Macaca mulatta: one gene and its partners. The protein of the gene in region 1 purifies or fractionates together with the protein of each later gene. This does not show direct contact. Links are inferred from orthologs where the notes say so. Each region holds a gene or a part of one and is shown on either strand. Other genes may lie near its edges.

Evidence for each region.
Region 2: the proteins of CDKN2A (region 1) and CDK5RAP3 purify together in Homo sapiens (affinity purification with western blotting; 3 studies listed by BioGRID). This does not show direct contact. The link is inferred for Macaca mulatta from reciprocal best matches to the Homo sapiens genes CDKN2A and CDK5RAP3.
Region 3: the proteins of CDKN2A (region 1) and CCND1 purify together in Homo sapiens (affinity purification with western blotting; 3 studies listed by BioGRID and IntAct, with this or other methods). This does not show direct contact. The link is inferred for Macaca mulatta from reciprocal best matches to the Homo sapiens genes CDKN2A and CCND1.
Region 4: the proteins of CDKN2A (region 1) and CUL2 purify together in Homo sapiens (affinity purification with western blotting; 3 studies listed by BioGRID, with this or other methods). This does not show direct contact. The link is inferred for Macaca mulatta from reciprocal best matches to the Homo sapiens genes CDKN2A and CUL2.
Region 5: the proteins of CDKN2A (region 1) and TOP1 purify together in Homo sapiens (affinity purification with western blotting; 3 studies listed by BioGRID). This does not show direct contact. The link is inferred for Macaca mulatta from reciprocal best matches to the Homo sapiens genes CDKN2A and TOP1.

What each region holds. Positions count from the first base shown.
Region 1 is NC_133420.1:77,237,748-77,244,053, forward strand, and holds the start of CDKN2A (cyclin-dependent kinase inhibitor 2A), read left to right. Parts: upstream 1-2,767; 5' UTR 2,768-3,085; coding exon 3,086-3,211; intron 3,212-6,306. UniProt on the Homo sapiens protein: Acts as a negative regulator of the proliferation of normal cells by interacting strongly with CDK4 and CDK6. This inhibits their ability to interact with cyclins D and to phosphorylate the retinoblastoma protein.
Region 2 is NC_133421.1:62,061,541-62,067,105, forward strand, and holds part of CDK5RAP3 (CDK5 regulatory subunit-associated protein 3), read right to left. Parts: intron 3,477-5,565; 5' UTR 3,336-3,476; intron 3,031-3,335; 5' UTR 3,026-3,030; coding exon 2,966-3,025; intron 2,512-2,965; coding exon 2,451-2,511; intron 1,622-2,450; coding exon 1,446-1,621; intron 1-1,445. UniProt on the Homo sapiens protein: Substrate adapter of E3 ligase complexes mediating ufmylation, the covalent attachment of the ubiquitin-like modifier UFM1 to substrate proteins, and which is involved in various processes, such as ribosome recycling and reticulophagy (also called ER-phagy).
Region 3 is NC_133419.1:5,007,014-5,012,578, reverse strand, and holds part of CCND1 (G1/S-specific cyclin-D1), read left to right. Parts: intron 1-1,521; coding exon of another isoform or gene 1,522-1,546; coding exon 1,547-1,695; intron 1,696-4,618; coding exon 4,619-4,783; 3' UTR 4,784-5,565. UniProt on the Homo sapiens protein: Regulatory component of the cyclin D1-CDK4 (DC) complex that phosphorylates and inhibits members of the retinoblastoma (RB) protein family including RB1 and regulates the cell-cycle during G(1)/S transition.
Region 4 is NC_133414.1:36,430,406-36,435,970, reverse strand, and holds part of CUL2 (cullin-2), read left to right. Parts: intron 1-1,976; coding exon 1,977-2,084; intron 2,085-2,744; coding exon 2,745-2,804; intron 2,805-3,621; coding exon 3,622-3,750; intron 3,751-3,854; coding exon 3,855-3,941; intron 3,942-5,565.
Region 5 is NC_133415.1:93,962,980-93,968,544, reverse strand, and holds part of TOP1 (DNA topoisomerase 1), read right to left. Parts: intron 4,686-5,565; coding exon 4,564-4,685; intron 3,375-4,563; coding exon 3,252-3,374; intron 1,534-3,251; coding exon 1,346-1,533; intron 383-1,345; coding exon 238-382; intron 1-237. UniProt on the Homo sapiens protein: Releases the supercoiling and torsional tension of DNA introduced during the DNA replication and transcription by transiently cleaving and rejoining one strand of the DNA duplex.

The DNA of each region.
Region 1 (6,306 bases):
ATCTTCTTCACCAATAGCTATACATGTATTTCAGAAGAGCTGAAAGAGTTCTTGATGTAGAAATCCATGGTAGAGTTTCAGAGAAATCCCTGAATTCCCTGAAAGTTTTATCTAGAAATACATGTGGAAGTGAACACATCTTTTAAAAAAAATCATTACATACTTTATTTTTTGAGAAGAAGGCATTTCAGCAGCCTCTTGAAGGAGCCTACTCTTCCCACTCTCCCACCCCCATTAAGAACCATTGTAGGACGGGCATAATGGCTCAGGCCTGTAATCCCAGCACTTTGGGAGGCCGAGGTGAGTGGATCACCTGAGGTCAGGAGTTCGAGACCAGCCTGGCCAACATAGTGAAATCCCGTCTCTACTAATAATACAAAAATTAGCTGGGTGTGGTGGCATGCGCCTCTAATCCCAGCTAGTCTACTCGGGAAGCTGAGGCAGGAGAATCGCTTGAACGCGGGAGGTGGAGGTTGCAGTGAGCTGAGATCGTGCCATTGCACTCCAGCCTGGGCAACAGAGCGAAACTCCATCTCAAAAAACAAACAAAAAACCCATTGTATTAGTGATGGAAATGTGTTCCCTCCCTCCCAACCTGGCAACCACTCTTTCTTCCTCCTCCATCATAAAATACCTTAAGCTAAACTAAACAAATTTTATTTATCGATAGTTTGAATTTTCCATATCATTGCTACACAGCTAAATGAGAGGTACTCCGAGGAAAATATAAATGGCACAGTAATGCATTGTAGATTTTAATAACATACTTGACATCCCAAATTGTTTCCATTGGCTTCATTTTAAAAACTACGTGTTTTAACATCAAGCAGACACTAAAAGTACAAGATATACTGGGTCTACAAGGTTTAAGTCAACCAGGGATTGAAATATAACTTTTAAACAGAGCTGGATTATCCAGTAGGTAGGTTAAGCATGTGCTTAAGGCATCAGCAAAGTCTGAGCAATCCATTTTTTAAAAACGTAATATATGTTTTTGAAAAGCTTAAAAAGTAATAGTCACAGGAAAAATTAGAACTTTTACCTCCTTGCACTTGTTATACTCTTTAGTGCTGTTTAACTTTTCTTTATAAGTGAGGGTGGTGGAGGGGCCCATAATCTTTTCAGGGAATAAGGTCTTCTTGATCTTTCTTTCTTTTTTTTCTTTTTTTTTTTTTTTTTTTTGAGACCGAGTTTCGCTCTTGTCTCCCAGGCTGGAGTGCAATGGCGCGATCTTGGCTCACTGCAACCTGCGCCTCCTCCTAGGTTCAAGCGATTCTCCTACATCAGCCTCCCAGTAGCTGGGATCACAGGCATGCACCACCAAGCCCAGCTAATTTTGTATTTTTTAGTAGAGACAGGGTTTCGCCATATTGGTCAGGATTGTCTCGAACTCCTGACCTCAGGTGATCCTCCTGTCTCAGTCTCCCAGAATGCTGGGATTATAGGCGTGAGCCACCGCGTCCAGCCTTTCCTTTTATATAATAGTGATAATTCTATCCAAAGCTTTTTTTTTTTTTTTTTTTTTTTTTTTTTGAATCGGAGTCTCATTCTGTCACCCAGGCTGGAAGGCGGTGGCGCGATCTCGGCTCACGGCAACCTCTACCTCCTGGGTTCCAGCGATTCTCCTGCCTCAGCCTCCTGAGTAGCTGGAATTACACACGTGCGCCACCACGCCCGGCTAAGTTTTGTATTTTTAGTACAGACGGCCAAAGCTGGCCTCGAACTCCTGACCTCAGGTATCTGCCCGCCTCAACTTCCCAAAGTGCTGGGATTACAGGCGTGAACCACCGCGTCCGGCTCCAAAGCATTTTCTTTCTATGCCTCAAAACAAGATTGCAAGCCAATCCTCAAAACGGATAATTCAAGAGCTAACAGGTATTAGTTTAGGATGTGTGGCAGTGTTCTTAAGTCTTATATGTATTAATATACAACAATTCATTTAAACTCACAACACCCCTGTAAAGCAGGGGGTACTCATATTCCCTTCTCCCTTTATAACTAAGAAAAATGCAAAGTATTTTCAGTAGGAAAGAGAAATGTGAGGAGTGTGTAGGAGACAGGACAATGTGTAAAGCGGGTCTTTGGATCACTGTGCAACTCTGCCTCTAGAACACTGAGCACTTTTTCTGGTCTAGGAATTATGACTTTGAGAATGTAGTCCGTCCTTCCAATGACTCCATCTCCATTTTCCTATCTGCCTACAGGCAGAAATCTCCCCCGTATTAAATAAACCTCATCTTTTCAGAGTCTGCTGTTATACCAGGCAATGTACACGTCTGAGAAACCCTTGCCCCAGACAGCCATTTTACACGTAGGAGGGGAAGGGGTGGAGAAGGAGAGGGTAGGCCAACTCTCCAAAAGGAATCCTTTGAACTAGGATTTCTGAGTTAGTGAACCCCGCGCTCTCGAAAATCAAGGGTTGAGGGGGTAGGGGGACACTTTCTAGTCGTACAGGTGATTTCGATTCTCGGTGGGGCTCTCACAACTAGGAAGGAACAGTTTTGCTTTTTCTTATGATTAAAAGAAGAAGCTATACTTTCCCTATGACACCAAACACCCCGATTCAATTTGGCAGTTAGGAAGGTTGTACCGCGCAGGAAGGAAACGGGGCGGGGGGCGGGGGGATTTCTTTTTTTCTTTTTAACTGAGTGAACGCACTCGAACGCGCCTTTGCTGGCAGGCGGGGGAGCGCGGCTGGGAGCAGGGAGGCCGGAGGGCGGTGTTGGGGGCAGGTGAGGAGGAGGAGCCCAGTCCTCCTTCCTTGCCAACGCTGGCTCTGGCGGGGGCTGCTTCCGGCTGGTGCCCCCGGGGGAGGCCCACCCTGGGGCGACTTCAGGGGTGCCACATTCTCTACGTGCTCGGAGTTAATAGCACCTCCTCCAAGCACTCGCGAACGGCGCCCCCCTGCCTGGAAAGATACCGCGATCCCTCCAGAGGAGTTGAGGGACAGAGGCCGAGGGGGCTCTTCCGCCAGCACCGGAGGAACAAAGAGGAGGGGCTGGCTGGTCACCAGAGGGTGGGGCGGCCGCGTGCACTTGGCCGCTGCGGAGAGTGGGAGAGCAGGGAGCGAGCAGCCGGGAGCAGCATGGAGCCTTCGGCGGACTGGCTGGCCACGGCTGCGGCCCGGGGTCGGGTAGAGGAGGTGCGGGCGCTGCTCGAGGCGGGGGCGCTGCCCAACGCACCGAATAGTTACGGTCGGAGGCCGATCCAGGTGGGTGGAGGGTCTGCAGCGGGAGCAGGGGATGGCGGGCGACTCTGGAGGACGAAGTTTGCAGGGGAGTCGGAATCAGGTAGCGCTTTGAGTCTGGAAAAAAGGGCTTCCTGGGGAGTTTTCAGAAGGGGTTTGTAATCACAGACCTCCTGCTGGCGAAGCCCTGGGTGCTTGCGAAGCCAAGGAAGGAATGAGGAGGCACGCGCGTGCCGATCTCTCGAATGCTGTGAAGATCTGAAGGGGGGAACATATTTGTATTAGATGGAAGTATGCTCTATCAGATACAAAACTTACGAAGGTTTGAGATAAAACGGGAGTCTTAAAGAAATGTAAGATGTGCTGGGACTACTTAGCCCCCAATTCACAGATGCCTGGATGGAGTTTATCTTTCTTACTAGTAGGGATTATCAGTGGAAATCTGTGGTGTATGTTGGAATAAATATCGAATATAAATTTCTGATCGAAATTATTCAGAAGCTGCCGGGCGCAGTGCCTCACGCCTTATAATCCCATCACTTTGGGAGCTCAAGGAGCGGGGGGATCACCTAAGAGTTCGAGACCAGCCTGGCCAACAGGTGAAACCCCGCCTCTACTAAAAATACAAAACTTAGCCGGGGGGTGGTGGCAGGCGCCTGTAATCCCAGCTACTCGGGAGGTTGAGGCAGGAGAATCGCTTGAACCCGGGAGGCTGAGGTTGCAGTGAACAGCGAGAGGGAGCCACTTCACTCCAGCCTGGGTGACAGAGTGAGACTGTCGAAAGAAAGAAAGAGAAAGAGAGAGATAAAAAAAAAAAAAAAGCATTCAGAAGCAACTACATATTGTGTTTATTTTTAACTGAGTAGGGCAAATAAATACATGTTTGCTGTAGGAACTTAGGAAATAATGAGCTACATTCATGTGATCGTGCCAGAAGTAATATGTAGTCACCATTTTGGGAATATCTGCTAATATTTTTACTGTTTTGCTATCTTTAGCTTACTTGATAATAGTTTATTTTGTGATAGAGTTTTCAATTCCTCATTTTTGAACAGTGGTGTTTCTCCTCTCCCTACTCCGGTTTTGTGAGGGAGTTAGGGGATGATTTAAAAGTAATTAATGCATGGGTAACTTAGCATCTCTAAAATTTTGCCAACAGCTTGGACCCGGGAATTTGGCTTTGTAGTCCTAAAATATCTTAGAAGAGACCTTATTTGTTTAAAAACAAAAAGGAAAAAGAAAAGTGGATAGTTTTGACAATTTTTAATGGGGAAGGGAGAAGAACATGTAGAAAAGGGGAAGTGTTGTTGGCTTAGAATCCTAACTACACTGGTGTTTAATATAGGAACACTTATTTGTATAATATTTTTAAATGCTAAATTCATATCAATTTATTATCAAATGGGTTTAAGCATCCTACACATTTTAATTCAATGAATTCATTTTCTTTTTGCTTTGGATTTATATCATGATTTAAATATTTACATATGGGTTACTTTTTAGGTTTTTCATTCTATGAAATATAATAAAAACCTTTAAGGCTAGTTTTATGACCAAGACGAAGAGAACTTCAGTGAACACACGGAACAATAAATATGCTGCAACATTTTGTCTTTCTTTTTGTAGCTGCAATTTGGTTTGCTTATACTTTCTCTTTGTCTCTTTGAAAACTAAGTCAGTTTCACTTTCTCAGGACAGCATTTAATAACCATAATATAATTTAGTATAATTCCTTGATTTAGGCAAATTATGCAATTTGTGTTTAGTATGAAATGTACCTAAAAATAAGTAATTCCTCTTTAACACAACCATCCTCAAGCTAATATAACAAATAACAGTTATCCTAAAATAAATTGTTTATTTCCACCATGCAACACTCAAATTTTAAGGTTGCTATGACTGGAGACAGTATTTTAAAATTCCTCTCTGGAAATGGCTTTGTTTCCAAGATGATTTAGGAACCAAAAAGGTGACCATCTCTTGTTTAATGAACTCTCAAATCATAAACCTGGGAAGCCTTTTCGTTTCCTATTGCTGCTGTTACAAATTACCACAAATGTGTTAGCTAAAACAAACAAAATTATTATTTTACAGTACAGTTCTAGAGATCAGAAGTCAAAAATGGGTCCACTTTGGGAAACTCTAAGGGACAATCTGTTTCCTTGTCTTTTCCAGCTTCTAGTGACCATCAAATTCCTTGGCTCATATTCCCTGTATTTTCTCTGTGGCCTGTGCTTCCATTCTTTTATCTTCTCTCTGACTGTGACCCTCTAATAAAAACACTTGGGGTTCTATTGGGCCCACCCTGAAAATTCTGGATAATCTCCCTCAAGACCATTACTTAAATCACATCTGCAAAGCCTCTTTTGCTACATAAGTTAATAAATTAACAGTTTTTGAGGATCAGGACATAGACATTTGTGGGGGGGGGGACCTTATTCAACCTACCACAGGAAGGAATTTTAGGGCTAGTCTAGCATTCTTATTTTATACTTGAAGAAATTGAATTTTTGGAATTGGAGAGCATTATGCTAAATGAAATAAGCCAAACACAGAAAGACAAATATCACATGTTCTCACTTATCTGTGAAATATAAAACAAATACATTCTTAGCAGTAAAGAGTAGAATGGTGGTTGCTGGAGCTGGGGAGGGGGGCAGTGGGAGGAATGGGGAGTGGTAATCAAGATACAAAGCCTCAGTTAAGATGGAAGAAATAAGTTTGATTTTTTTTGAGATGTGTTTCACAGCATGATAAATATAGCTAAATAGTAAATCCCAAATGCTCTCATTTGACAAAAATATCAAATATTTGAGATGATGGATGGGTTAATTAGCTTGACTTAATTCCACATTGTGTTCAAAGATCATAACTTCATATTGTACCACATAAATATATACAACTGTACTATGCCAATATGTAATTTTAAAACTAATTTAATGAAAAAGAAATTTAAGTTCAACGTTCCCAGAAACTAAGGGTAACTTAAAAGTTTTGTGAGAATTTGTTTAAAAAAACAAACAAACAAGTTTTCTCTTTTTAACAATTACCACATTCTGCGCTTGGATATACAGCAGAGAACCAAAAAAAAAAAAAAAAAAAAAAAAAAAAAAATCTCC
Region 2 (5,565 bases), on another chromosome or scaffold:
AGCCGAGATCATGCCATTGCACTCCAGCCTGGGCAACAAGAGCAAAACCCAGTCTCAAAAAAAATAATAATAATAAAGCAAATAAGAGGTCCACTCAGAGATGCTCAGAGTGCTAAGGGAACAGAAAGAAGGAGAAGGAGTACCGAACTCAGCATGGGAAAAGGCAAGGGAGAAGGACAGAACACCACCAGAGCAGACTCTTAGGAGAAGTAACACTTGAGCTGAGTCTTGCAGGATGGCATGAATTGTAATAGAAGGGAGAGGAGAGAAAAGAGGAAGGGAAATGACAGGTGTCATTCTGGGGAAAAGGAAAAGCAAGGACAAAGCCCAGAGGTGAGAGAATGGCTGTTCCAGAAGGAAGAAGTTTATTATGGGAACATGGATGTTTATGGGATGAGTGGAGAGAAATTAGGTTGAAGAGATGGGCAAAGAGAGATCTTGAAGAACCTTCAGGTCCATCATAAAGGATTGAAATGTAATCCCGTAGGTTAGGATTCCCAACCAATGGGCAAGCAGGTCCCTGGAAAGCTGTAGAATTATGCAAAGGTGGAAAGATCGCTTGAGCCAAGGAGTTTGAGGCATCAGTGAGCTATGACTGTGCAACTGTATTCCAGTCTGGGTGACAGAGGGAGACCCTGTGTATAAAAATAATAAATAAATAAATAAATAAATAAATAGAATTATGCAAAGGGGCCAGGGATCCATAAATACATTGATTTTTTTTTAAGTCAGCAGATACTAGAAAGACAACTCTCATGTGATGAGATGGAGAAGTTTTTCTACATTGAAAAAAATGATCATTTTGGCTGGGCATGGTAGCTCACGCTTGTAATCCCAGCATTTTGGGAGGTGGAAGCAGGAGGATCACTTGAGTCCAGGAGTTCGAAACCAACCTGGACAACATAGTGAGACCCTGACTCAGAAAAAAAAAAAAAAAGAGAAAGACAGAGAGAGGAAGGAAGGAAGGGAAGAAGGAAGGAAAGATCATTTCAGAGAACATGATCAATAAATATATGAAAAGATGTCCAACCTTACTAGAAACAAGGTGTCTAGTTTCCCAGAGCTGTTGTAACAAATCATCACAAATTGGGTGGCTTAAAACATAGAAATTTACTCTCTCACAGGGCTGGCACAGTGGCTTATGCCTGTAATCCCAGCACTTTGGGAGGCTGAGGCGGGTGGATCACCTGAGGTCAGGAGATCGAGACCATTCTGGCTAACACAGTGAAACCCTGTCTCTACTAAAAATACAAAAAATTAGCTGGGCGTGGTGGCGGGCACCTGTAGTCCCAGCTACTCAGGAGGCTGAGGCAGGAGAATGGCGTGAACCCCGGGAGGTGGAGGGTGCAGTGAGCCGAGATCACACCAGTGCACTCCAGCCTGGGCGACAGAGCAAGACTCCGTTCCCCCCACCCCTGCAAAAAAAAAGAAAGAAAGAAATTTACTCTGTCACAGTTCTGGAGGCTTGAAGTCTGAAATCCAGGTGTCAGCATGGTTGGTTCCTTGCAGAGGAGATGCTGTGCCTCTTTCCTGGCTTCTGTGGCTGCTGGCAGGCCCTGGTGTCCTTGGCTTGCAGGTACCTCCATTGTCACATGGTCTCCATTGTCACATGACATTCTTCCTGTAAGAACACTGCTCCTCAGCCTTAGGACCTACACTAACCCAGGATGACTACATCTGAAAACCACATCTGGAAACCTTATTTCCAAAGCAGGTCACATTCTGGGGTTCTGAGTGAATGTGAATTTTCGGGGACACTATTAAATCCAGTACACTAGGGAAATGCTAATATAAAGGACACGGGCCAGGTGCAATGGTGCACACCTGTAATCCCAGCACTTTGGGAGGCCGAGGTGGGTGGATCACTTTAGGTCAGGAGTTCCAGACCAACTTGTCCAACATGGTGAAACCCCATCTCTACTAAAAATGCAAAAATTAGCTGGGTGTAGTGGTGCACACCTGTAAGTCCAGGTACTTAGGAGGCTGAGGTGGGAGAATCGCTTGAACCTGGGAGGTGAAGGTTGCAGTGAGCCACGATGGCACCACTGCACTCCAGCCTGGGAAACAGAGCGGGACTCCATCTCTAAATAAATGAACAAATAAATAACATGAGGAAGACCACTTCACTTCCATCATACTGGCAAAAATGGAAATGTCTGTGTCATGGGTTGCATTCTACAGAAGTAGGTGGTGTTTGGGGGGGCAAGATGTTTATTAGGAATCATTTCCTGTGAGAGGAACCAGATGGAAGCAGGACTGGGCAGAGGCAGAAATTCAACTGCACTGCAGGTCCAGCAAAGCTTCAGTCAATGTGGTGGGGGCCTCTGAGTGAATATTGCCCCGAGAATGTCCTTCATGGGGCTGAAATGGCTGGGCTTTATATTTCTAGAAGTGCACTGCCCCAGAATGGTAGCCCTCGGGCAAGTTGACTTTCTATCGCTGAGACAGACCTTGAAGGAGCTGATGGCCAACTGCTGACCACACTTCTGTGACCCGGCAGCAAGTCCTTCCCTGAAAAAGGATGTGGGAAGCACACTTACGTCTGACAATACAGAGAGGTGATCTGAATGAAGAATGTGGAAGGCTGAAAAATGATCCCTGCAAAGATAACCATGTCAAATCTCCAGAAGCTATGAGTGTGACCTTATTTGGAAAAAGACTCTTTACACATGTGATTATGTTAAACATCTTGAGATGAGAGAATCCTGGATCATCGGGGTGGACCCTAAATGCCATCCCAAGTATCCTTATAAGAGAGAGGTGGAGGGAGTTTAGCCAAACCCACAGAAGTGAAAACAAAGGAGGCGGAGATTGGAGTGATGTGGCCACAAGCCCAGGAGTGCCTGCAGTCACCAGGAGCTTGGAGCAATCAAGGACAGGTTCTCCCTGGAGCCTCCAGAGGGATCACAGCACTGGCAACTCCTTGGTCTTGACCAGTTAAACTCATTTCTGACTTCTGCCTTACTGGATAGGTCAGAAGAATCCATTTCTGTTGTTTCAAGCCATGGAGTTCATGGTAACTCATGGTAGCTACAGGAAACAAATGCAAACATCAACAGGAAAATTGCTGAGGGGGTGCAAATGGGTGTACTGGGTTAGAGAATCCACCTTAAGGGGCGGCTGTGGGGATCAAAATTTCACACCTATGGAACATTTGGAAGAGTGCCTGGAACACAGTCCCCCTAATATTGGCTGCTCACACCCCGACTCCCTGCTGAGATCTCCTTGAAGGGAACGCCTCGCATGAAAACAAGAGAGAGCCCCCTCCAATGGCAGCCCCACCACCCACCTCAGATCAGAATGCAGCTTCTGCCTGCCCCGCCTCCCCACGGCACCTGGTATAGCCTGCCAGAGACTGATCTTTGGTTTTGCCCCACTTGTCACCTCGACCAGGCTGGACACCCCCAGGATCTCCAATCTCCTGGCCTTCCAGAGAAGGGGGAACACTGAGGATAATGGCAGCACCTCTCTTCTCCCTGTTTTGGGGAAGAAATATCCCTGAAGCCTAGATCTACTTGCTGGGCAGAGGTCAGTAAAATGGGATGGATATGCCAGGCTGATTGGATTTGTAATTCAATGGGGCCCCATGGCTGTGCACCCCAAAAGGGCACCAAGGTCTTTGGGGCTCCCTTAGGTGAATTTAACTTGCTTTACTCAATGAGAACACATTTCTGAAAACGTGCACACTGTATGTATATGGCATGTTACACTTAAACCTAGTTTTAGGAAGGTGTGCTTAAAAGTGAATTTTTTTTTTTCTTTTTTTTGAGACAGAGTTTCACTCTTGTTACCCAGGCTGGAGTGCAATGGCGCAATCTCAGCCTCACCTTCCAGGTTGAAGCGATTCTCCTGCCTCAGCCTCCCGAGTAGCTGGGATTACATGCATGCGCCACCATGCCTGGCTAATTTTGTATTTTTAGTAGAGACGGGGTTTCTCCATGTTGGTCAGGTTGGTCTCGAACTTCCAACCTCAGGTGATCCACCTGCCTCAGTCTCCCAAAGTGCTGGGATTACAGGCATGAGCCAGTGTGCCTGGCCAAAGGTGAAAATTTTTATAAAGCAATAAAGTGGGCCGGGCGCGGTGGCTCACGCCTGTAATCCCAGCACTTTGGGAGGCCGAGACGGGCGGATCATGAGGTCAGGAGATCGAGACCATCCTGGCTAACACGGTGAAACCCCATCTCTACTAAAAAGAAGTACAAAAAAAAAACTAGCCGGGCGAGGTGGCGGGTGCCTGTAGTCCCAGCTACTCGGGAGGCTGAGGCGGGAGAATGGCGTAAACCCGGGAGGCGGAGCTTGCAGTGAGCGGAGATCCGGCCACTGCACTCCAGCCTGGGCGACAGAGCGAGACTCCGTCTCAAAAAAAAAAAAAAAAAAAAAAAAGCAATAAAGTGGCCTGTACGTGAGGAGTTATATTTGTAGCTCACAGTCTTATCTCAAACTCTCCTCCCAGTCCTGCTCCTCCCAGAAATAAATGCCCTTAAGGCCAGAGGTTGCGCCCCAGGCTGGCCCCTCCCTGGTAATGCCCTAGGGCCTCATACCTGCACCTGGTCCTGGTGGTGCTTGGGAAGGGAGAGCCACAGGTGGGCCTGCCATGGCACTTATGGGGGCTCCTTCTTCAGTGTGGGGTTAAGAGAACAAGAATCTGCTCCCCTGGGCTCAGACATCAGAGAGGCACGGGGAATGAGTGCCTCCAGGGCAAGTCCTTTCCTCTATGGAGGGGGAGCGGGGAACTGACTCTGAGTTACTGTCCCCCAGACCAAAGCCCATCCCACTAACCTTCTGGTCTCTTCCCAACACCTGAGCTGGAAGGAGTTTTTGTCTTCTGAACCAGATATCCACTCTGAGTGGACCAGGCTTTTATAGAAAGTGACAGATCTAGGAAGCTGTGGGCACCTTTCTGGGACAGCTGTGTGTACTTTGCACTAGAGGCAGGGGACCTTGCAAAATTATATCCTTCAATTCCAATCAACCCCCAGGGAGATGATGACATGACAGCAAGTCAGCTGTAGCTGGAACCACAAGAAGGCAAATAAATGGGTTTTCCTGCACGTTTACCTGCCCCAGGGAGCGTGGGACAAAACAAGGGGCTACATTACCAGTTTCTTTGGGTAAAAACAATGTTTCTGTTTCTCATTTGTGTTTTCAAGCTTGCATAAGTACCTACTATATGTCAGGTCTGGATCAGTGACACATAATTCTGGAATCTAAGAGCTAAAAGTCTATAAGTGGAAATCAATCATGGTATATATATCGTGTTAAATAGAAGTATATGAGCAGGTTCTATAGGAACACAGAAGGGGAAACAAGAAAACTCCTGGTGGGGTGGGAGGTGTGATCATTAATTCAGGTTTTGAGGGATGAATAGGAGTTTATCTTAGGTCGCACAGGCGATGGGAAGACATTGTCACCCAAGAACACACCCAGCACTCCTAATCTCACCCTTCTAAGGCAGCCTCGTGCCTACAAAGGCAGGCAGAGAAGGGCCTAGTGTTCGGGGAGGGTTGGCAGGGGTGGGTGGGCACGAAAGGAGGCTGCAGAGGCCCTGTCCTAGGAGAGCCAGGC
Region 3 (5,565 bases), on another chromosome or scaffold:
GCCGGCGCCCCTCTCTAACAAGGCCGAAGTTGTTTATTCTCTCGGGATGAAGTCTCGGATGGGCCGCCGCACCCCTGGCGGCCCGTGGGGGCCCCTCTCCCTTTGTGCCTGGGTCGGCTCCCATTCAGCTCCCCCGACCCCCCTTGTTCCCGGGCGCTCAGTGGCGCGAGATGAGGCGATGGGGCCGACAAAGATGCCACACTCATCCCTGCTGACGTCCAGCTCCCAGCCCAGGGCCCCTGGTTCCTATGCAGAATTCCTCGTGGGTGTGACAAAGGGCTACCCCCAGTGGAGCTGGGGTGGGGGCCAGGCCGAGAGGCACATCCCACGCTGGCCCACCTGTCCACGGTAGGTGCATGACTGCTTGAGGAGGGGAGGCCGGAGTTCCCCGCCACACACTGGGACGTGATTGGTGGCGAGGCTCTCTATGGAAAGAGCTGGTCTGCTGTTTGTCTAGGTCAGTCATGGAGGCCCTGAGATGCCCACTACTGCAGCCTGGCAGGCAGATGAGTCCCAGTATCTGACAATGACCAGAGGGAGTTTTGTGCAGACCACAAAGGCTGATGGGCCGCCCTAGATTGGTGTCCCCCTTGGAAGTAGGCCCAGATGTGCGGGACAGTCCCCAGGAAGCCCCAAGTAGGGGGATTGGTGCCTTCTTGGGAAAGCTGCTCCCTCCTGGGACCCGGCTCCTGGCCCAGTCCACCAAGGGTGTCCCATAGTGCCTGCTGCTAGGAACCCCACACCTCTTCCCTTACTTGGGAAGTCGCTGGAATTGCTGGGCTACATCAAGTGGCCCAGAGAAGCGTTTTTGTCATCGGCCAGAAGTAGAGTTGTGAGTAGAGGGCCCTGGGTGGAGTTGGGGTGTACTTGGTCCGTGCTCTGAAGGTCACCGTGACAGTCGTGGTCCCACGGTAAGGGCCATGGGTTGCTGGAACAGCTCTTCCTTCCCGAGTGAGCCAAGCCGGGCTCTCCTGACGCCAGGGCCTGAGCCGGAGCCACACCATCACGGCCACCCTGAAGGCTGCCGGCCAGGGCTTGCCCCTCGATGGACACAGGGAATGGCTTCATCAATGCCCTGCAGCCCCATGGCCTGGCCCCGTGCAACGTCCCTTCAGAATATGACTTGTCTCCAATCCCTGCTGCTGGGGGGTGGCACGTACTTGGGGTTAAGGTTTAGGGTCATAGAGGCGACATCTCTGTGTCCTCATATTTGTGTCGTCTAACTTTGTTTTTGTGAATAAGTGGTAACATTCACAAGGCTCAAGATGCTGAAAGGATGAGAGGGTAGTGATGTCCTTGTCACCTGTCCTGTCTTCCCGTGGCTTTCTCTCTGCTTGGTTATGTTTGAGTCAACAGTGGGGCTGACATTCCTGGAGGGTCCCTGGGCCGGGCTCTTGCTCTCCTAGTACCCAGGGATGGCGGGAGGCTGGGGAGGGCCTGGAGAGTGGTACCCACCAGGCCGGGCCGCCTGCTCAGAGCCAGCACGTGGGGATGCCCAGATCACGGGTCCCCTGCTCACAGCCCCCTTCCCTCTCTCCTGCTGCAGATGTGAAGTTCATTTCCAATCCACCCTCCATGGTGGCAGCAGGGAGCGTGGTGGCCGCAGTGCAAGGCCTGAACCTGGGGAGCCCCAACAACTTCCTGTCCTACTACCGCCTCACACGCTTCCTCTCCAGAGTGATCAAGTGTGACCCGGTGAGTGAGGGCAGTGTCCCAGGGAGCCTCGCCGGGGCTCACAGGCAGGAGACGCCTAGTGCCACGGAAATGCCAAGGCTGGTGCAAGGGTGACAAGGTTGGGGTTGGGGCTGGGGCTGGGCCCCTCGGACCCCAAGCCACAGACTGACAGGGCACCAGCTTCTTCCACTGCTCCTAGAACTCACTGACCGGTCGGGAGGTCCTCACAGGCTGCTCATGTCCCCTGGGGCTTCCAGGAGCTGTAGAGTGTTTCTGGGCGAAGCGTCTAGGACGACGGCCCCAGGCGGCCCCAGCCAATGGTCCGTGTGGTGATAGTGTGTGGGGTTAGGCCCAGGCGAGCTTTGTTTGGGCCACAATGTGCGTGGCCAATAAATAGATGCTTGAAAAGGGCTCCTGTGAGGTCCGAGACGCCGGACAACGGGCGGATAGAGACGGCCTTGTTTACGGCTCTTTGAGAGGCTGCTGCCGTTAAACCCTGGCATGACTGTGTCTTTCTTCTTCAAAATGCCATTGTTTTATTCCCGATTCTTTTCTTAAAGAAAGAATTAAAATGACAATCAAAAGGGTTTGTGGCATTTACCAAATTAGACCAGAGAGGTGGCCGGGTCAGCCGCCGGCCCTGCGGTGTGTGAGGGAGTGACCGCCTGACCCCAGCTTGGGGCCGGCTGGGCCTGCGAGGCCCGTTGTGGCTCTGGCCTGGGCCGCCTCTTGGGGGTCTGCCCTCGAGCCTCCCGGGGGCTCCGCACGGGTCTCAGCAGATGCTATCTAGCGTCCACCTGCCTGTCCCCTGCCTAGCGGTGCCTCTAGGCAGCTAGCGGCTGCCCAGCCCATGTGTGTCTCGGAAGAGGAAGAAGCATTTTTGCCATGGGATACTGGAGGTGGCAGGGGCGCCCTCCCCTCCCTTCTGTGCTCTCGGCCGTGGCCTCCCTTGCACCCTGCCCCGTGTTATCCTGTGGGGGTGGTAAGGTGTCCTCACCCGCTGTAGGGTGGAGGCCAGCAGCCCACAGTTCTCTCAGGAAAATGGTTCAGAAACGCCGTCAAGGCCTCCAGAAGCCCAGCAAAGGGAAAGCCCCTCCGTCAAAATGAAACTCGCATCTGCACTTTCATTTCCAACTCCACGCCCTGAGTGGAAACCGCCTCCCCGCCAGGGGTATCTGCCCGGGATGTTGCTGTCTTTGGGCAGTTGTGGGAAGTTGGGCACTGGCCCTTATTTGAGTAGAGACCATCTGAACTAGATGGGAGGCACACGCTCACAGCTGACACACGGGGTGAAGTTACCTGAGGCGGAGTCCACTCTGCCTGATTAGCTGAGCCCAGACTCAGAAAAACCGTTCACAGCAGAGGCCCCCTGCACTTTCTAGGGCGTGTTCTAGAATTTTCTTTGGTGGGTGGAATGTCCATCTGTGTGAATCGGGTGCACAGGGCCACACACCAGTGACTTTTCGTGGAGGAGCGTGCTGCCTCCTTGGAGCTTCTGGCTGTGGGAGAACAGCTCTGTCCACCAGGGTAGCCTTGCAGGCAGCTGTGGGGCCAGAGGAATGAGGGAAATGGAGTCCAGCTGCATGCGTGACCCTGGAGCGGGTCATGGTGAGGGGGGCGGACGGCAGGTGAAGAGTCCGTGGGTGGAGCTGCCAGGCCCCTGGAGCTGGGAACTGAGGGTGGCTGGTGTTTTAGGTTGAACATCAGGAGTCTTGGATCTCACCCCAGGTCTCTGGCCTCAGTTTCCCCATCTGTACAGTGGGACTGTTTGTGCTGCCAGCCCAGCCGGCTTCATTTGCCATGATGAGAATTTATCTGAAAGGCGGGAGAGGAAAGCCCTCCCTATAGTCACAGGACGCTAAAATGTTACGACCCCAGGGGTCCACTGAAAAGTCCTTCTGGCCTAGGTCATCGCCTGTCATGCCCTGCCTTTGTCCACCCCCATCTGGTTGGAAGTTCAGTGGCACCTGTTGGGGCTGTGGCCCAGCCCTGCTCCTTGTGGAAAGTCTGTTTCCTGGGCTGCCTAGAGACTCGGCTTGAAGCCCTACTGTGGCTTCCTGGCAGTTGGGACACACACAGCCCCAACACATGAAGCCAGTTCTCTATCCAGAAGCCCCCGCACAGGAGATAGCCGCTTCGGGCTGCCTGGGACTTGCCCGTGCTGGAGCTGAGGAGAGGCCCCCGGCTGGGCGCGGGGTTCCGGATTCCATGGCTGCTCTTTCCCACTGACGGTGTGGTGCGGCCGCCGCCAAGGGGGTCTGGAGACCCGGAGGGCGGAGGTGCAGGACTTCCAGGAGCTTCTGTTGCACTCCACCCGAGGGCGAGCACCTCTGTGGCCGCAGCGGGTGGATGCATGCTGTGCCAGGCTGATGGGTGGCCCCGGGGCACAGGCCTGAGCGGGAGAGGATGGAGGTGAGGGATCAAGGGTCCAGGTCCCCCTGGGCACCCAGCATTCATCCTCAGTCATGCACGGCCTGAGACTTTGACAGCCGTTGATCATGGAAGGCCAGGTTCACCTGGAGGGCTGCCACACGGAGAGGCTGTCTGAAAAGGCAGGACTGAAAGGGCCTGTCTGTCCAGATCAGATGGCACTGAATTCCCCAGGGAGCTGGCAGGGCCAGTGGGAACAGAAGGTCAAGGAGCTGTTGAGCTTGGGGATGGGCAGAGCGGGTGCAGGGTGGGCGGGCAAGCATCTGCTGTCTTGTGGCTCCGGAGGCCAGGTGGGAGGTGGAAGCGTTGGGTCCTGAGTGTCTCACTGACAGGTGATGGCAGCTCCCACGTCTCGCTCAGGTTCAGAGGCGGCGGCATGGGTCAAGGGACAGTTTTTTACTTAGTCTTGCTCTTATAGAGGCCTTCCAGGTCGTGGCACCTGGGAGGGGGCCCTCACCGCAGGCCCCTTCTAAGGACCCCCTCTTCCCACCTCTCCCCACTCCGTCTCTCTCAGGACTGCCTCCGGGCCTGCCAGGAGCAGATCGAAGCCCTGCTGGAGTCAAGCCTGCGCCAGGCCCAGCAGAACATGGACCCCAAGGCCGCCGAGGAGGAGGAAGAGGAGGAGGAGGAGGTGGACCTGGCTTGCACACCCACCGACGTGCGGGATGTGGACATCTGAGGGCGCCAGGCAGGCAGGCGCCACCGCCACCCACAGCGAGGGCGGAACCGGCCCCAGGTGCTCCCCTGACAGTCCCTCCTCTCCGGAGCATTTCGATACCAGAAGGGAAAGTTCCATTCTCCTTGTTGTTGGTTGTTTTTTCCTTTGCTCTTCCTCCCTTCCATCTCTGACTTAAGCAAAAGAAAAAGATTACCCCAAACTGTCTTTAAAAGAGAGAGAAAAAAAATAGTATTTGCATAACCCTGAGCAGTGGGGGAGGAGGGCTGTGCTACAGACAATAGAGGATTTTATACCCCAATAATCAACTCGTTTTTACATTAATGTACTTGTTTCTCTGTTGTAAGAATAGGCATTAACACAAAGCAGGAGTCTCGGGAGAGGATTAGGTTCGATCCTTTACGTGTTAAAAAAGAAAGCGTAAAAACATTTTTAAAACATAGAAAAATTCAGCAAACCATTTTTAAAGTAGAAGAGGGTTTTAGGTAGCAAAACGTATTCTTGTGCTTTTCCTGAAAAGCGCAGCTGTAGTGTGGTTCTAGGCATCTCTGTACTTTGCTTGCTCATATGCATGTAGTCACTTTATAAGTCATTGTATGTTATTATATTCCGTAGGTAGATGTGTAACCTCTTCACCTTATTCATGGCTGAAGTCACCTCTTGGTTACCGTAGCGTAGCGTGCCCGTGTGCATGTCCTTTGCACCTGTGACCACCATCCCAGTGGAGGTTTGTCGGGCACCAGCCAGCGTAGCAGGGTTGGGAAAGGCCACCTGTCCCACTCCTA
Region 4 (5,565 bases), on another chromosome or scaffold:
TTTACCAATCACATGACTGTAACAGTTTGTCTTTCCTATCACCAAATCTTGTTATTACTGGTGACGGTTGATGAGCAAGAGAGACGTAACTTCAACTGTTACTATCTCTTCTTAAGTAGAGCTGTTTGACTTAATCTGTAAGGTAGTATCTGTCACGCCTGTAATCCCAGCACTTTGGGAGGCCGAGGCGGGCGGATCACGAGGTCAGGAGATGGAGACCATCCTGGCTAACACGGTGAAACCCCATCTCTACTAAAAATACAAAAAATTAGCCGGGCATGTTGGCGGGCGCCTGTAGTCCCAGCTACTCAGGCGGCTGAGGCGGGAGAATGGCGTGAACCCGGGAGGCGGAGCTTACAGTGAGCCAAGATCACACCACTGCACTCCAGCCTGGGTGACTGCACAAGACTCCGTCTCAAAAAAAAAAAAAAAAAGATAGTATCTGTGTGTATGTGTGTAGCCGTCACTGTTCAGGAGCACTTTTTAGAGGCTGTTACCTTAGCGACAGATTGGTCTTTGGCAAGTAATAATTTTTAGTTTTTATGTTCTGCCACAATCATGTGTAAGTTTACTATTTTTTAATTTCTTCAAATTCCTTTTACCACAGTTTTCTATTTTTGTAGAACTATTAGTTTGTATTATGCAGATTTATTACTCTGTATTATTTGTCAAACTTACTAGTTTATGTTATTACGTTTATAGATTCCATGTCCAATGACATGGGGCATAGAAGCATAGAATTTTGTGTCAAGGCTGGGAGATGGAAACATAAGTGAATACATTTGTAGTAGACTCAAATCCAGCTGACTTAGTTAAGTCTTAGGTAGTAATTTCTTCATGGTTATCTCCATTAAGAGGGAAAACTCACTTTTGCACTATTAGGTATTTCTTCTCTCTGAGATGTGAGGGATTGTCTTGCTGAGTTCAAGGGGTCTCTGTTCTCAGGGTTACTGGCTTTTTAACTCTCCTCTCTCTCAGCCTTCAGTGACTTTGCAGGCAGTCTTTGCTTATATAAGCCTCTATGAAAGTGATAGACCTGGTAATTCAGGTCTTGTTATCCTTAAGTTATTCCAACACAGTAGAAAAGTATGCTTTTGGTGGGTTCTTCTGGCAGGTACTAGACAGTCTATGACATTAGCTTGTTGTGTTGAATGACAAGCTATTTTCTTTCTTTTTTGTTGTTTTTTTGTTTGTTTGTTTTTTCTGAGACGGAGTCTTGCTCTGTCGCCCAAGCTGGAATGCAGTGGTGCGATCTCTGCTCACTGCAACCTCCACCTCCCTGGTTCAAGTAATTCCCCTGCCTCAGCTTCCCGAGTAGCTGGGATTACAGGCGCATGCCACCACGCCTGGCTAATTTTTTTGTATTTTTAGTAGAGACAGGGTTTCACCATGTTGGCCACACTAGTCTCGAACTCCTGACCTCAGGCAATCCCCCTGCCTCCCAAAGTGCTGGGATTATAGGCGTGAGCCACCACGCCCGGCTGACAAGCTATTTTCTTTCTTTTTTTTTTTTTTTTTTTTTGAGACGGAGTCTCCCTGTGTTGCCCAGGTTGGAGTGCAGTGGCCGGATCTCAGCTCACTGCAAGCTCCGCCTCCCGGGTTTACGCCATTCTGCCTCAGCCTCCCGAGTAACTGGGACTACAGGCGCCCGCCACTTCGCCCGGCTAGTTTTTTTGTATTTTTTTTTGTAGAGACGGGGTTTCACCGTGTTAGCCAGGATGGTCTCGATCTCCTGACCTCGTGATCCACCCGTCTCGGCCTCCCAAAGTGCTGGAATTACAGGGTTGAGCCACCGCGCCCGGCCGACAAGCGATTTTCAACACCAAAGTTTTAAATTTTTAAAACCACTTTCTGAGAAGTGTGCATGTGTAAAACATAATTTCCTTGAGGAAAAATTTACTCAAGTCTAATAAACCTAGTAGTTTGTACTTGAACCTTTTAAAATGTGGTTTTGTACTTATATTTCATGTTTTTAGATGCCAACACTATTTGTGGAGTCAGTTTTGGAAGTACATGGTAAATTTGTTCAGCTTATCAATACTGTTTTGAATGGTGATCAGCACTTCATGAGTGCGTTGGATAAGGTAAGTTTTAAATACGTATATACTATATATGTACATAAAGCTCTGTCATTCTTTAGGCAGTTTCAGGATTAGACTCCTAGTATGAGATTTCTGACCTAGACATGGAGATTAAATATGAAATTCAAAATGGAAATAATATAACTTTTAAATTATTAACTGAATAGTAAATTGAATGCTTGTAGAATTTCCCATGATTATGCTATATAAGGGGAATTTTTAATCTGATATCTTCTGGATAGACATGCATAATTTTACAATTTTTAGTACTGATTTTTTTCTTTGGCCATAATACTTAGGCTATATTGAATAATATTTGAAAAGAGAATAGATATGTTTTACGTGAACTTTTGTATACTTTAAAGGAAAGTTACTTACAAGATTGTAAGTTTTTTTTTTTAAGTAGTGTTATTTTATCTGTTCAAATTTTGGTAATGAGTTACAGAGTATCTTGCAATAGCAACAAGATGTATAGATATTTTGTAATTAGAGAATAAAATCAGAGGAGTCCACTGTGTTAGGTGCGAAAATATTAACAAACTACTGGCAATGCTGTGTCGTATGTGGCGGGGTAATTTTGGATGTATGGATTATGGCTTGTATTGAACTAGCTGTACTTTTTCCCTATGGCTGGTGGTTAATTATGGCCTGTTTTTTATGTAGGCCCTTACGTCGGTTGTAAATTACAGAGAACCTAAGTCTGTTTGCAAAGCACCTGAACTGGTAAGTTTGGTGTTTGCTGAAAAGTAATCTTATGAAAAGTCAGTATTAGAACATGAAAACTGAGAATATCAAATTAATTTGGTTTTTGTAGCATTTTTCAGAAAAACAAAAGGAAAATTATCTACATTGTACATAGTTTGGCATTTATGTAAGGAATGCAACATACCGTGTGTCTTTTCTTAAAAAATAATCATTTTACAAAGTTTGGGTTTTAATGTATGTCTATTTTGAAATAATTTTAATACTTTTCATGTAGATTGTTATATCTGAAATCTAAAGGAAGTCTGATGATAAAGTTTGGGTAACCTTTGAAGGAAACTTGCTTACAAGGTTTTTGTAACTTTTTTTAAAGTACTTATTCAATGTCAAAAATTATAAAACCGCTCGAAACTCACCCAGGTGTTCTTTTAAAAATTTATATTACCCATATCAGTTGCTTTATTGGTCAATAAGTGATAATTCGATATTTGACTTGTTCTTTTAAAAAATATACCTTATGATGTGTATTTTATTTAGGTTACACTTATGATTATTACATAAAGCTTTAGAAGCCTGGTGTGGTTGTGCATGCCTATAGTCCCAACTACTTGGGAGGCTGAGGCAGGAGGATCCTTTGAGCCTAGGAGTTTGAGGCTGCAGTGAGCTATGATGTTGTCCATTGCAATCCAGCCTGGGCGACAGAGCAAGACCCAGTCTCTTAAAAAAACAGTAAAAACTCTGTCCACTGATCTTATCTTGTATCACCACTTTGCCTCCTTTGAGGCATGATATATACAGAAGCACCCTTTGTAAGATTTATTATCAATTTCTACATGAGCTTGCTAAGTACTGTGACAACTTACTGAAGAAGTCGGCGAAAGGGATGACAGAGAATGAAGTGGAAGACAGGCTCACGAGCTTCATCACGGTGTTCAAATACATTGATGACAAGGATGTCTTTCAAAAGGTATGCTGTGAACAAAAAAGTTTCATTTGTGTTTTGGTCAACTTTATTTCTGAATGCTAAATCATTAGAAAGGAAGTGATCTTTTAAAATATTTTTAAATGCAGTTCTACGCAAGAATGCTGGCAAAACGTTTAATTCATGGGTTATCCATGTCTATGGACTCTGAAGAAGCCATGATCAACAAATTAAAGGTAATATAAGTCTTTAATCTGGTACTGTCCTAGAAATTCACTCACAAGCGTATAAAGATGTTCATTGCAGCATTGTATGCAGTAACAGGAAACAATTCATCCGGTTAAATGTATATTTTTATATTCACACAGTGGGATATACAAATACTATATTAAAAGGACAAAGTATGTATGCTTATATATGAAGATTCACTGGATAATCAGTATTAACGATAAAAGATTATTACTACTTTAAATGAATACACCTAAAATATTCCTTTAAGTACAAATTTTGGAGTGCAATTCCATTTCAATTTATTTTTACATCATTTCAGCTTGCTTGCACACCGATAAGTGGTAGCAGGTTCTTATTTCTCCTGCGTTATTCAATAAATTTTCCTGCATAGTAGACATTTTGAATATAATATGCACTCCTTTTTTCCTTTTTCTTTTTTTTAAGAGATAGGATCTCACTATGTTGCCCAGGCTGGACTCTAACTCCTGGGCTCAAACGATCCTCCCGCCTCAGCCTCCTGAGCAGCTGGGACAACAGGTGTGCACCACTGCACCCAGTTGCTATGTGCTCTTTTTGAAACCTGCAAAAAAGAAAAAAAAAAGCTTAGTTTTTAATTTCTAAAAGTAGAGTTGGCCAGGTGTGGTGGCTCACGCCTGTAATAGTAGCACTTTGGGAGGCCAAGGCAGGTAGATTGTTTGAGCTCAGTAGTTCGAGACCAGCCTAGGAAACATGGCAAAACCCTGTCTCTACCAAAAATACAAAAGTTACCTGGGCTTGGTGGCTAGTCCCAGTTACTCAGGAGGCTGAGGTGGGAGGATTGCTGGAGCCTGGGACATCGAGGCTGCTGTGAGCCATGATCACACCACTGCACTCCATCCTGAGTGACAGAGCAAGACCCTGCCTCTAAATAGATTAATTACCAGAAAAATAGTAGTGTTAATGAGCTTTTATATTTCAAGATTAGAGATTCAGATTTTCTAACCTGGTAACAACATAATTTTGAATAATTTTAAAGAAATAATTTTCTTCATCACTCAGTAGATGCTATTAAAAATATGCCTAAGTAGACCTTTTTCAATTGACTACTGGCTAGAGTATTCCCAGTAATCATTTATGTAATCTTTCATTTGATACTATCTGTAAACCTTATAAGAGCCAGCAGCTGTGGTATGTGCCAATAGTCCCAGCTACTGGGAGAGTGAGATAGGAGGATGGCTTAAGCCCAGGAGTTCGAAGTTGTAGTGCACCACGATGGCTCCAATGAATAGCCACTGTGTTGCAGCATGGGCAACAGTGTCTTTAAAACAAAACACAACATAAAATCCTTATAAGGTATCTTATGTATAGTAATGGGGCGTTTTGCAGTGCTGAAATAAGAGATGAATGTATAAAAAAGTTTTTGTTTATGGGGAGATTTATTGTTCCTAAATAGGTGGATTTTATTCACTTACTTAAAATATGCCTTTAAAAAGAAAGAAAGTTGGAAAGGTTTTGATTAGTTGCTTTGACTTATGAAGAATATATTACTAGTCCTTGGGTATAAGTGTACATGCAAGAACTCTTGACCAAAGACCTAGCAATACTGACACATTCTTATTAACCAATATGACTTATTATTTTTCTTTTGAA
Region 5 (5,565 bases), on another chromosome or scaffold:
ACATTTGGGATTTCAGTAAATATTTGTGAATTAATAAATAAATAAGATTACAATGTGACCAAAAAAAAATGGAGGCATTGTAGGAAGATCACCATAATGCTAACTACTTGCCTTCTTTCAACGGGAAGGGTTTTTAATTTGTCAAAGTGATTCTGGAGGACGAGAACATTACATTTCAACAGAAAAAGATTATCAGCACCATGAACCAGTGCAGCTCTCAACTATCCCGTAACTTACCTTGATTCGTGAACTAGGGTTAAGCATGATGTATTTAATGGAACCTTGGATGTTCTCTGTCCAGGAAACCAGCCAAGTAACCTTGTTATCATGTCGAACCTCTTTCCACTTATGTCCTGGAGGAGGAGAAGGAACCTTGGCATCTCTGGAAATAACAGAGCAAGAGGATAGTGAAATGAGATGTGAGGAATAATTTCACCTTTCATGACCTCAAGTGGACATATATGCTGAGCATATTTTTCCAAGTTTCCTTCTTAACAGTCAATATAGTAGTCCCATCTTATTCATGGTTTTACTTACCCTCAGTCAACTGTCATCCAAAAATATTTAATACAAAATTTCAGAAATAAACATTTCGTAAGTTTTAAACTGCACATTATTCTGAGGAGCATGATGAAATCTCTTGTAGTCCCACCTGGGACACGTGAACCATATATACAACATATCCATGCTGTATACGTCACTTGCCCCGGGTAACTAAGGCGCTGCCTTAGTTATCAGGTTGACTATAATGGTTTTACATTGCTTGTGTTCAAATAACCCTTCTTTTACTTAATAAAGGCCCCAAAGTGCGAAAGTATTGATGTTGGCAATTTGGATATGCCAAAGAGAAGGTGTAGAGTGCTTTAAATGAAAAGGTGAAAATTATCGACTTAATAAAAAAAACTGTATGCTGAAGTTGCTGAGATCTAAGGTAAAAACGAATCTTCCATCTGTGAAACTGTGAAGAAGGAAAAAGAAAGTCATGCTAGTTTTGCTGTTGCACCTCAGACTGCAAAAGTTATAGCCACTGTATGTGGTAAGTACTTAATAAAGATGGAAAAGGCTTTAAATTTGGGGGTGGAAGACATCAACAGAAATGTGTTCCAAGTGACAGCAGTTGGGTCGAAGTTTCAGGTATCCACTGGGGGTCTTGGAACATATCCCCTGTGGATGAGGGGAGACTATTGTACCTCAAAAACATCTGGAGACCTATGCATGAAATACTGTCCTGCTCTTAAGTATCTCCTTTCCCAAACAGTCCTGTGTAACCTGGGAAATATTCCCAAGTACAATAAAGGACACCCTCCACCCCCTTTTTGGCCCACAGGATGAAGTGCGAGCTCACTTGCTACAGTTGATGATTATATCCTCAGGCATGATTCGTCTCTTCAGCATGCCCATCTTAGGGTGGTTGCCCCGGCCACGGAAAAGCCCGGGAGGCTCTATCTTGAAGTTAGCAATCCTCTCTTTGTGGTTATCCATAATACAGAAGCCATATTCTTTCAGTAATTTTTCATTCTCCTCTTTGATTTTCTGGAAGACAGCCAAGAAAGTACTCAAAATAGATTCCGATGCTGTTCTCTACTAATACATTTTTATCTCTTGTGGGAGACTAGGTCAAGATAGAGAAAAGTCTGAAAATGACTAAAAAATGAATTCAAATAAAGGAAAACCTCTAGTGGTTTTCTCAAACTTAAATATCATAAAATTCCCCAAAAAGATCTGCCTATAAGGATTGATTTCAACTAGATTCAAAACTGATTCCTGTGTCTTAAAGGATATATGTTTATAAATGTTGTTTGGGTGTTTTTAAATGTACTTTAAAAATTCGTACTATTTTATTGAGTACTATCAAAACAGGAAATGGAGAGGGGTCTCTGATAGAGCCTCATAAAAGAATAGCTCGAGCCATTTAATTAAAACAGCAGTTAAACAGCTAAAAACATGGGTTTTAAAGTCCAGACAGATCTGTCACTAATTTTTTTGTAGGTATACAGGTTAAATGCTCTATACTATGATCCTTGCTCCAAAAAGGTGGGGTATGGTGGGCAAGATTTTGAGCCTCCTTACCCTCTATTGACTCTTTTTATATACTTATTGATTCAATTTAACTAAGCCCTGCTGCCTTGTGGGTGGGAACAGACCTTGCTGGCAGCAGGTGTCCTTGCAGGGACTCTGACAAGGGGATGTTTATAAAATCTATCTTTGGATCAGTATTCTAAGAACAAAGCTCCAAAGTGATCTTTTAAGTTTCAAAATGCCCCGATGTAAATAATATACTAAATTTCACTAACTTGGAATATTGAGGATAAGATTTACCTGAGACAGAAAGTCTGATGCAATTAACATTCTTATAGTAACACATTAATTTTTAAACTAGTGGCCAAATAAGTACCATGAAACAATGAGTTATATAAATACAATGGCCTGAATTATATAAACATGCAAGTCCTTCAAAATACTGAAACTACAGGAATTTGAAGTGCAAAAAATTCCTTAAAATCCTTAACTTCTAGACTTCCGATTGGAAAAAATGAAATTCTAGCCTGGATTCCTTTAGTTAGGGGCTGACAACTTTTTCTAGATAGAAAATATTTTAGGCTTGAGTGCCACACAGTCTCTTTTGCAACTACTCTCTTTTGCAACTACTCATCTCTGTCATTGTTGCATAAACACAGCCATAGATAATATGTAGAAAAGTAGGGGCAGCTGGTTCCAATAAACTTTTGTTTTCTTTTTTTTTTTCTTTTTTTACAAAAACAGGCAGCCTGTAGAAGAAAAATGACATCCCAGCTGGATACCAGAAAAATTCTTCAGTAATGAGGATGGCCAAGGCTGGAAGATGGAGATGGATGAGCACTGCAAGATTCCACAGTAAAACAGATAAAAGAACAGGAAGGTATATGGCCAATATGATTTCATCTGTCTTAAATCCTTAATATCCAGTAGCCACTGTGGGACAGTTCTGTCCATCCTTAATTACTATATTATTGGCTGGAGTTACTGACTGGTTTTTAGGTCACTGAAGCACCAGGGTTCCTATAGAGAGCTACTGAGCAAAGTACTTATTCACAATTTTCAGTCTAACTAAAACCTTTAAGAAAATTTAGACTTTGAGAATTCTAAGTCTTTAGCACAGAATGATGTGAAATTACTGATGTTAAGTGTTGTGTCGTAAGAACCAAGAAGAAAATTAAATGAACCAATCACGATTCCAAAATTCTCCAGAGGTTTAATAAATTCTGTAGTACCAGTTTCTCTTCCTTGCTCATCTGTTTCCGAGCTTCCGACTGGGCTTTGAAATACTGGCTCATCTGGGTAAAATCACATTTGCTTAGGTTGGTGATAATATTCTTCTCTTCATTAGTCATTTCCTAGTCAAAAGAAAACAGGGAGATGAAAGAAAAACAACTAAACTACACTAGTAAGTCCTTGGGTTTCTTTGCGAATATACCCAAGCACCATTTTTTCAGTCAAAGGTTTTTCGAAGTAGCCAATCTCAATTAATGAATTTTGAAAAAACAAAAAAACACAGAATAAAAAATATTTCTTTATTATAAAATATGTATTTAATAATATCAAAATGTTTTAAAATGACTTATCATGGAAAAAAATGAACTCTTATGTGGTTTCTTAGACTCCGTGGCACACTGTCCCCAGGCGCATGAATACAAGTTTGGAATTCCATACTGATTCTCTCTTAGAAACATTACCCCTATTCTATTCATTTATTAAATTTGCTTTTCAGAGCTAGTTCAGGAAGTAAACTTTACTGCTGCCTCTGTCCACATTATCCAAATTGAGAATAATGAGATTTTAAAAAATCACCTAGGCAAATATAGTATATGTTGTTTCAAGAGTAGAAAGTACCTAGAACAAATGAGCAAGAATTAACAGGGAGTGAACAGGGAGTGGGACATCAGATTAACATTTCTCTTTGCAACAGCAGACACTGGGCAGTCCTGCAGAGACAAACTTTCCTATGCGCAACTAGAGTTGAGGTTTTCTGTTTGGCCTAATCTCATAACCCCCTACCTGCCATCACATGACAGCCGATAGCAAAGATATACGAGTATTCTTTTTTTTTTAAGACGGAGTCTGGCTCTGTCACCCAGGTTGGAGTGCAGTGGCACAATCTCGGCTCACTGCAAGCTCCGCCTCCCAGGTTCACACCATTCTCCTGACTCAGCCTCCCGAGTAGCTGGGACTACAAGCACCCGCCATCACACCCGGCTAATTTTTCTATTTTATAGTAGAGACAGGGTTTCACCATGTTAGCCAGGATGGTCTCAATCTCCTGACCCTGTGATCCACCTGCCTTGGCTTCCCTAAGTGCTGGGATTACAGGCGTGAGCCACTGCGCCTGGCCGATATTCAAGTATTCTTATTGGACCGAAACCCTACATAATATAGTAAATGAAGACAAAAAGTGCACAACTTTAAATACAGCAAAATCCATAAAACTCAAAATTTTACATCAGGAAATGTTTTGCAAAATAATTTATTACTTCATACTTGATTGTTTTGCAAGCTACTAAGATATTAACACACGGGCTACAGTACCTTTCTCCAGTCTTTAAAGAAATTTTTCCTAAATATTTCCTTAGTAGTATATTCATGGTCGAGCATTTTTGCAAAGAATGTAGCTACTTCTTCTGCTTTGGGGCTCAGCTTCATGACTTTACCTAGAGAAAAAAGTGGTTCCAAAAAGTGAGGTATAGTATTCATGTTCTAAGTATAAATACCCAGGGCTAGCGAATTCTCTTTAATAATGGTTTGCCTTCTCATGGTATATAAAGGTCTGGTGACACATAGTAACAACAACAACAAAGACAACATACTGATTTATATCTACTTGTACAAATTCTCCTTCCTTTAGCATATATTTACCTGGGTCATTCTCTGGAGACTATGCCAGTTAATTGTTCCCAGGTGCCTGCTCAGGACAGGGATGACCTGGGGGAGGCCCAGTCACTCTTCCTTTTCCTTTCAGCAAGCAGGGTCCTTTACACCTCTTCAATGGTTTTTAAAAATCAAATCCTCAGAGGGACTCCTGCCACTGCTAAGCTAAGCAGCCTCTGTTCAAGAAGGGGAGGAAGGGATAGGGCAGGGAGTGGAAGAAAGGAATTGTGGGGAAAAGAAATAGGCATCTTTCTTCTTCAAAGTTAGGTGGGTGGAATATGAATAAAAAATATATATCCATACTAGGCAAGCCCAGATTTCCCATATGAAAAGCCTAAATAAGACCTTCTTCTAGAAGCTTGCTATTCAACAGTGGCTCACAGACCAGCAGCACTGGCATCACACTGGAGTTTGTTAGAAATGCAGAATCCCAGTCCCCCTCCTAGACCTCCTGAATCCTATACAGAAATTGCATTTTAACGAGACTTGGATGCACACTAGAGTTTGCAATACACTGCTATGGAACAAGGGTACCATGATGCTGCCTCTTTCAGGGAACCAGGATGCATCCACAGCACAAGGGATGACTGGAGTTCCTGGTGTATCCAATTGTTTATGTAAAAGCTGTCTGAAGGGGCTGGGCGCGGTGGCTCACGCCTATAA